Macaca mulatta: one gene and its partner. The protein of the gene in region 1 interacts with the protein of each later gene in a biochemical or structural test. Links are inferred from orthologs where the notes say so. Each region holds a gene or a part of one and is shown on either strand. Other genes may lie near its edges.

Evidence for each region.
Region 2: of the proteins of ABL1 (region 1) and RIN1, one has a biochemical effect on the other in vitro, tested with the Homo sapiens proteins (2 studies listed by BioGRID and IntAct, with this or other methods). The link is inferred for Macaca mulatta from reciprocal best matches to the Homo sapiens genes ABL1 and RIN1.

What each region holds. Positions count from the first base shown.
Region 1 is NC_133420.1:16,869,847-16,874,138, reverse strand, and holds the start of ABL1 (tyrosine-protein kinase ABL1), read left to right. Parts: upstream 1-1,289; 5' UTR 1,290-2,071; coding exon of another isoform or gene 2,072-2,170; 5' UTR 2,171-2,777; coding exon 2,778-2,913; exon of another isoform or gene 2,914-4,292. Other genes in the region: uncharacterized protein LOC144335005, read left to right, coding at 2,072-2,170. UniProt on the Homo sapiens protein: Non-receptor tyrosine-protein kinase that plays a role in many key processes linked to cell growth and survival such as cytoskeleton remodeling in response to extracellular stimuli, cell motility and adhesion, receptor endocytosis, autophagy, DNA damage response and apoptosis.
Region 2 is NC_133419.1:8,088,008-8,092,292, forward strand, and holds the start of RIN1 (ras and Rab interactor 1), read left to right. Parts: upstream 1-1,326; 5' UTR 1,327-1,359; coding exon 1,360-1,445; exon of another isoform or gene 1,446-1,471; intron 1,472-1,603; coding exon 1,604-1,784; intron 1,785-1,886; coding exon 1,887-2,001; intron 2,002-2,080; coding exon 2,081-2,153; intron 2,154-2,264; coding exon 2,265-2,356; intron 2,357-2,511; coding exon 2,512-3,249; intron 3,250-3,541; coding exon 3,542-3,847; intron 3,848-4,107; coding exon 4,108-4,239; intron 4,240-4,285. UniProt on the Homo sapiens protein: Ras effector protein, which may serve as an inhibitory modulator of neuronal plasticity in aversive memory formation. Can affect Ras signaling at different levels. First, by competing with RAF1 protein for binding to activated Ras.

The DNA of each region.
Region 1 (4,292 bases):
AGGCAGGATAATCGCTTGAACCCGGGAGGTGAAAGTTGCAGTGAGCTGAAATCCTGCTACTGCACCCCAGCCTGGGTGACAAGAGCAAAACTCCATCTGAAAAAAAAAAAAAAAAAAAAAAAAGAAAGAAATGGGATTCCTGTCAGATGCATCCCTCTGGGGAGACATGGAGAGCCAATAGGAACCAAGGTGCTTTTTAGTCGCAGAACATGGATTCTATCAGGTGTGGGTTTGGCACATCTAGGTCATTGGTTCTGTAGACTTGCTAAACCCAACCATCTGGGCATTTTCTCAGCTAATATAGAGGATGTTTTCATGTGAATACGTGTTCACCTGTGAAATGTTTATAGTCTTAAAGATTCGTTCCAGGGCAAACATCTGATAGCGCCTGGCAAACCCAACAAATGGCTTTTCTGTAATGAGTAAGCCTCCTAATGCCCAAATAAATAGTTGAATTCGTTAGCAACATGTCGGATGTTTTCCCTATTTCTGTATGTTTCTTCGCTAGTTGTTTTTTTTTGTTGTTGTTGTTGTTGTTTTTTGAGACGGAGTTTTGCTCTTGTTGCCCAGGCTAGAGTGCAATGGTGTGATCTCAGCTCACCGCAACCTCTGCCTCCTGGGTTCAAGCGATTCTCCTGCCTCAACGTCCTGAGGCTGGTATTACAGGCATGCACCACCACGCCCGGCTCATTTTGTATTTTCAGTAGAGAAGGGGTTTCTCCATGTTGGTCAGGCTGGTCTCGAACTCCCGACCTCAGGTGATCCGCTCGCCTCGACCTCCCAAAGTGCTGGGATTACAGGCGTGGGCCACCGCGCCCCGTCCGCTAGTTCTAATATTTATGCTTTTTGGAGGGTGAAGGGGTTGAGAGGCACCAAAAACCTTGGCTTCTAGGAGCAAGCCACATTTTCTCCCTTAGAGACTGAAGGAAATCATCCGATTCCGGTTCCAGGAAAATCCAATCCGCAGTTTTTCCCTCGCTTTGTCCCGGTCTTACTACTCGCGCCGGGGAGACGCGGTCCAGCCGACGCTCGGCCGGCGAGAGTCCACCAGGTCCCAGGAGGGCGGGGCGAGGCCCAGCGGTCGGGGTCCGGGCCAGGAGTCTCGGTGCGGGAGGACTCGCGCGGGTGCCGTGGGACCACAACTCCCGGGACGCACCGCGTACTGCGCCGAACACGGTTGGCTGGGAGATCCAGCCCTACTGCCCCCATTGGCCAATGGGACGGGGGAAAGAGGCCCGACCCGGATTCTCGGAGGCCAATGACAATACAGAGGAGGCGGGTGCTTCCTTATCACTCACCTTGCGCTCAAAGAAGCCACATTTAAAAGGTCGTGCCGGGCCCGGCTTTCGCAGGCAGTGGGACCAGAGCCGGGACGCGCGGCGGTGTCCCGGGAAAGCGGCCCTGAGGGCATCCGGGTCCCCTTGAGGCGGGCTCCGGACGTCGTCGTGGGCGGGGCGGAAGGCGGGGCCTGGCCTCGTTGTGGAGCGGCTCGTAATCCATCATGGCGGCCGCGGGGGTCGGTGTCTGTGCCTGAGCAGCGCTGGAGCCGGAGCCGGTTCCCGGGTGCTGCGACTGAGGAGCCCTTCCGCTGTCCACGGCCCCTACCGGCGGGGGGCGGCTGGGTTCCTCGGCGGAGCTCTGGGGATGTGATTGCCTGAGGGCGGTGGTGGTGTCAGCGTCCGGGGCCGGGGGAGAGGGTGTCTCAGGCAGAGACCCCCGGGCTTGGGGCAGCTGAGGCGGCCGGGCCTCCTCTACACGGCGTCCGCCTTTCGCTGTCTGGGCCGCGAGAGTCCTTCGTCCCTTACAGCTCCACCCCGGCTTTGGGACACTGGGGGTCTGTTACCCTCAGCTTGGGACACCCCGTTTTCCGAGGCGTGGAAGAGCGTCGCCCTGGAGTAAGCCGCCCGTGCCGCGCCCCGGCAGCCTCCCTCAGCCCCGAGCCGCCCCTTGTTCCGGATCCCGGCCCCAACTTTGGCCACAGAGCCTCTCATTCAAATCCCTCCCTGCTGTCAAGGGGTCTCCCCTTCCCCAAGGTGGCTCCCGCGAGCCTCTAATGCCCTGACTTCTTCCAATGTCACCTACGGCCCCCTTAGTCTCAGGTCAGCCAAAAACTTTAATGCAAAGGAAAAGTCTGGATTGGTTCCACAGGCCTTTTAAAAAGCGGACTTAAAAGTTGCTGGCAATGCATTCCTTTTCGTCAGAGTCGAGGGCAAACTCGCTGAAATCTGGGTGACCCGTGTCCTTTTCCGGAGAGCAGAGCAGAGAAGCGAGAGCGGCCACTAGTTCGGCAGGAAATTTGTTGGAAGATGAAGAAGCTAAGATAGGAGGTTGGTGACTTCCACAGGAAAAGTTCTGGAGGAGTAGCCAAAGACGATCAGCGTTTCCTTTATATGTGGGAATTGAAATGACTAGCATTATTGACCCTTTTCAGCATCCCCTGTGAATATTTCTGCTTAGGTTTTTCTTTTTGAAAAGAAATTGTTATTCAGCCCGTTAAAAAAAAAAAAAAGTCAAGAAACTTTTGGGTAACACTGCAATTACATTACTTAAAATTGATAAACTGCGAAAATAATTGGAACTCCTGCTTGCAAGTGTCAACCTAAAAAAAGTGCTTCCTTTTGTTATGGAAGAGGTCTTTCTCTGATTGACTTCAATTGCTGACTTGTGGAGATGCAGCGAATGTGAAATCCTGCGTATATGCCATTTGCCTCTACGCTCTCTGACCGTTCTGGAAGATCGTGAACCCTCTTCTGGAAAGGGGTACCCATTATTACTTTATGGGGCAGCAGCCTGGAAAAGTTCTTGGGGACCAAAGAAGGCCAAGCTTGCCTGCCCTGCATTTTATCAAAGGAGCAGGGAAGAAGGAATCATCGAGGCATGGGGGTCCACACTGCAATGTTTTTGTGGAACATGGTGAGTGCTTTTAAAATTTCTGCTCATTATTTTCCTCATGCGTTCATCTTAGGCCTTCAAGGAACTTTGAATAATAGTACTTGCGACAGTTCCTTCCAATTCCACTTAATACATTTGTTACTTTAGTTATCTCTCAAGTTTCTGGTGAAACTTACTTTGTATAAGAAAAAGTTACTTCGTGAGTTCGGCTTTATTCAGAATCTATTTGAGTTGCTTATTTCTTGCCTGCTTCCTCTGCGAATTCACTGTTGACCTTGGACAAGCCATTTTACTGTTCCAGGGCTTCAGTTTCCTGAGGGGCTGGACTTCAGTTGTTTCTTAGGATGCATGGTTCTATGATTCTGCTCTCACCGAAGTCAAGGGCTCTTCTGACATGCATGGATTCTTTACTGCTTTGTCTACAGAGAGCTTTTATCATATTCTCAAAGTGGTTTGTTTTTCTGGTAAAGTTAAGAATCATAGATACTGGTTGATGCTAATATCCTTGACCTTTTCCATCATAAGTGGGACTTGAAAATACTCACTTTGGAGCCATGTGGGAAAAATCAAGTGGGGAGGCAGCATTCCTTATTAATTTTAGATACACAGCTTCTGTCTTACCTTCCATAGGAGTAATAATCCCTTCCTCGTTGATGAAGCTTTCATCCTCTCTTCTCCCTGTTTAGAGTGACATTTGGGCCAATAAAAGTTGTCTTTGACATTTTTATGAACATATTTGGCATTTGAGTGCTGACAGCACATTTTATGTTGTTCATGTCCAGTAATTCTGTGTGAAGTTAAAGCTAAGGGTCGGCTTACACTAATGTCTATAACCAATTAATTAGGGTTACTGTTTGTACTGTTGCAGCCTGCCATTTTTCAGATTGTGTCCTTTATATTAAAAAATCAATTGAGCCCACCTATCCTATAAGCAAACGTATCAAGTGTGCCAGTGGCTTATAGTTTGAAATTCATTCAGAAATACTTCTTAACATTGGGTGACTGCAATCAACAAAGGCTTCTGTTGGATGAACTTGCATTTGACGGTTGAAGTTTTACTTTCTTACAAGAAAATACTCACTTCATCTAAATAAATCTGGGTGCTTGGATTTTACTTTGCCTTGAAACATTAATTCTATTTTAGCTTTGTTTTTAGGCAAGCCAATATGGTCATGTGTTATGATGGCTCCCAAATTTAGGATTTAAAAAGTGAATTATTTACATTTTGACTTGTGATGATCATGCACCTTACATAGTGAAAATTGGTACAGACTTTTTGGAGAGCTTTGGCGGAACTTATCAGAATTTGAAATGTATGTGCCAGTGACCCAGTAATCTCATTCCGGGAAGCTGGTATAGAAAGCAGTGTAGTTCCCTACGTGTCCCTGATATCCCTTCAG
Region 2 (4,285 bases), on another chromosome or scaffold:
GTGGTGCTGCTGGGCCCTCCCACTCCGCTGGCACTGGCCTGGACTCCTCCTCTGCCCTCCTCGAGGCCTGCACAGCTGTGGCTGTGGAGCCGACCTGGCCAGGCAAGGCTGCTCTCTCCATCCCTGAGCCGCCTGCCACCTCCCGCTCCTGAAGATCTGCCTCTTGGGGCTCCCCTGACAGAGAAGACAGCTGAAGTCAAAGCCACATCCTCTTGCTGACCTTGGATGCAGGCTCTCCGGCCTCAGGGCCAGGGAGCCAGGCCCCACTGTGCAGGAACTCTGAGTCAGACGTGATATCTAGGGGGGCTGTCCACCCTGGCTGGGGCTGGAGGCAAGATGCCAGGCCCCCCAGGTTTTCTCAGGGCAGTTCTTGGTGTCTGCCTCTCAGATTTCAAGGACTAGAATTAAAACCTTTCCTGGGATTCTGGTGTGCCCCGTGTATGTGTGATTTACCTTGCAAGAGAATCAGGGCTTCTGTGGGGAGCACCTGAACCAGGCTGACTTCTGAGGTGCCTGCAGATTGCCACTCCTTGCACTGCCCAGCAGAGGCTGGAGCACTGTGCGTGGGGCCACACTGGGGAGGGGGAGGTGGGTGCTGGGCTGCCTGGCACTGGGCAGAGAACATATGGTGCCAGCGGAGTGCCTCGGGTGGGGAGGATGGGTGCGTGTGCTTGAAGCCTGGGTCATGTCTGCACCTGTCCCAGTTGCCTGGCAGATTGGCAAGGCAGGCTGGCAGAGCCTGCATGCGTAGGAGGCAGCCGGCAGCAGCACCATGTGCTAACGACCTCACAGCCAGACTCCCCCTGGTTAGTGCTGAGTGTCAGAACCACCCCCAGAACCTCAGTTAAGCAAATAGGTTGGTTTCCATGGAGACGTGGCATATTTTCTCCATGGCAACCTAAAATCCTAAAACCCATGTTCAGGAATGAGTCATCTATGGACAGTAGAGGGTGCTCTCCCACAAGGCTGACCTGAGGCCAGGGGCAGATGAGCAACTGACCACAGACCCAGAGGTGCCCCCAGAGTGTGGCTGGGGCCTGCGGGGACTGAGTCGGCCGTTTAACCACTTCCCGCCCACCTGTGCAATTTGAGGAGCTGGTGAGGCTGCAGGAGGCCCTGTGTGGAGGTGGCACCCCCCAGCTGGGGCCCTCAGAGCAGGGCTAGCACGGAGGGGATCCCTGACCCCCGAAGCAGGGTCCAGAACAGAGGAGGCAGGCACTGGCCAGGCGGGGTGGACACACAAGAGTTAACAGGCGGGTGTGACAGGCGGACCGCCCTCAGGAAGTGTTACTCACTGGGGATGTGCGTGCCTTGCCTTGGGGTTGGATTCTCTTCCTGAAGCCGAAGGAGCTCCCAGCCATGGAAAGCCCTGGAGAGTCAGGCACGGGCCCTCCGGGAGCCCCCAGCCCATCCAGCTTCACTCCTGGGCACCTGGAGACAGAAAAGTTAGTGAAGTTGGCAGGGCAGCCAGGTGGGGCAGGGAGGGGCTGCGAGAAGAGGGTCTATCTGGGGACGGAGAAGGTGGGAAACCTGGGAGCGGGGAAGAGGAGAGCAAGGGTCCCAGCCCCTGGCTCCCTGCTCAGATCTGGATGCCCGCCCTCAGGCCAGCCCAGGACCCACTGTATGACGTGCCCAATGCCAGCGGCGGGCAGGCAGGCGGGCCACAGCGGCCGGGACGCGTTGTGAGCCTGCGGGAGCGCCTGCTGCTCACCCGGCCTGTGTGGCTGCAGCTGCAAGCCAACGCAGCCGCGGCACTGCACGTGCTGAGGACCGAGCCCCCGGGGGTGAGTCTTGCCCCCAACCTCCAGGGACTGGCCAGCCAGGGGTGGGAGGGAGAAGGGTGGGATGCCAAGGTCCTGAGCTGCCTGAGCCCTATCCACTTGCAGACGTTCCTCGTGCGGAAATCTAACACCCGACAGTGCCAGGCCCTGTGCATGCGACTGCCCGAAGCCAGCGGCCCCTCCTTCGTCTCCAGCCACTACATCCTGGAGAGCCCTGGCGGTGAGGGGCTGGCCTGGCAGGAAGGGGCTGGAAGGAGGGAGGTTCCCTAGAGAAGCACCTCACTTCCCTCCTCTCTCAGGCGTCTCCTTGGAGGGCTCGGAGCTCATGTTCCCAGACCTAGTCCAGCTCATCTGTGCCTACTGCCACACCCGGTGAGTCTGCCTGCAGGGTGCCCTGTGTCCACGGGCCCTGCTCCTTGGGACAGCCCATCCTCCCCACCCCCTTCGGCCCTCACTCCCTTCTGCTCCCCTCTCTGGCCTCAGGGACATCCTTCTCCTCCCGCTGCAGCTCCCCAGAGCCATCCACCGTGCAGCCACCCACAAAGAGCTGGAGGCCATCTCCCATCTGGGCATTGGTAAGAGCTCCTTGCCACCCATTGCACAGATGAAAAAGCTGAGGCTGAGGGGAGGGGAAGGCTCGCAGCACACGGCCCGAAGCCCATGCCTTTCCTTGCTTGGGAAACTTCCCCTAACCAATCCTGGAGGCCCCAGTTGGTTTCTTGTTCCCTAGAGTTCTGGAGCTCCTCCCTCAACATCAAGGCTCAGCGGGGCCCGGCTGGAGGCCCAGTGTTGCCCCAGCTGAAGGCCCGGTCCCCTCAAGAGCTGGACCAGGGCACCGGAGCCGCCTTGTGCTTCTTCAACCCCCTGTTCCCGGGGGACCTGGGGCCCACCAAGCGGGAGAAATTCAAGAGAAGCTTCAAAGTGCGCGTGTCCACAGAGACTTCCAGCCCCCTGTCTCCACCTGCCGTGCCGCCTCCCCCCGTCCCTGTGTTGCCAGGGGCAGTCCCCAGCCAGACAGAGCGGCTGCCCCCTTGCCAGTTGCTGCGGAGGGAGAGTTCAGTGGGGTACCGCGTGCCAGCAGGCGGTGACCCTAGCCTTCCGCCTATGCCCTCCCTCCAGGAGGTGGACTGCGGCTCCCCCAGCAGCTCCGAGGAGGAGGGGGCGCCAGGGTCCCGGGGGAGCCCAGCGACCTCACCCCACCTGGGCCGCCGGCGGCCTCTGCTTCGGTCCATGAGTGCCGCCTTCTGCTCCCTACTGGCGCCGGAGCGGCAGGTGGGCCGGGCCGCGGCGGCACTGATGCAGGACCGACACACAGCCGCAGGCCAGCTGGTGCAGGACCTACTGACCCAGGTGCGGGCCGGGCCTGAGCCCCAGGAGCTGCAGGGCATCCGTCAGGCACTGAGCCGGGCCCGGGCCATGCTGAGCGTGGAGCTGGGCCCTGAGAAGCTGCTGCCGCCTAAAAGGCTGGGTGAGGCTCCGTCTCTCCATAGCTCCAGCACTGCCCCATCCGACCCTCTGCTCCCCTCCACAGCGCCAGCCTGTCTGATTCTGTTCTGCTGCTTTACAAACCCACCCTGTCTTACCACTGTTCGAGAGAGTTCCATCCTCTCTCTCCCCAAACTCTTCTGTCTCACCCAGGCTACCTCCTCCTGCTTTCCTTGCCTCTCCTCTCCGATTCTACCCCTGCTCCCTTCTCCCCTGGCCTCTGTCCCCCATCTCCCCAGTCTTCCCCTGACCCCTCCCTGCCCCTCCTCTGGCAGAACATGTCCTGGAGAAGTCATTGCATCGCTCTGTGCTCAAGCCTCTCCGGCCCATCCTGGCAGCCCGCGTGCGGCGCCGGCTTGCCGCAGACGGCTCCCTGGGCCGCCTAGCTGAGGGCCTCCGCCTGGCCCGGGCCCAGGGTCCCGGAGCTTTTGGGTCCCACCTGAGCCTGCCCTCCCCAGTAGAGATGGAGCAGGTGCGCCAGAAGTTGCTGCAGCTGCTCCGCACCTACTCACCCAGCGCCCAGGTGAAGCGGCTCCTGCAGGCCTGCAAGCTGCTCTACATGGCCCTGAGGACCCAGGAGGGTATGTCTCTGCCACCACCTCACCCTGCCCTGCCCCTCTGAGTTGGAGGTGGGACCCCCAGTGGCAGGTCCCCAGGACCCTGGAATGGCCCTGCGGGAGACAATGAGCCCACCCTCCCATCTTGCAGATTGCGAAACTGAGGCCCAGAGAGCAGTGCGTTGTCTCCGAAGCCCTGCCATGGTTGCTAGGCCATGGGGAGGGGTCACTGCCTAAAGCAAGGACTGCACCTGAAGCTTCTTCCTCTCACCATGTCCCCACAGGGGAGGACGCGGGTGCTGACGAGTTCCTGCCTCTGCTGAGCCTCGTCTTGGCCCACTGTGACCTTCCTGAGCTGCTGCTGGAGGCCGAGTACATGTCAGAGCTGCTGGAGCCCAGCCTGCTCACCGGAGAGGGTGAGGGACCCCCACCCACTTCCCTGCCTGGGTGGGCCCTGAATAA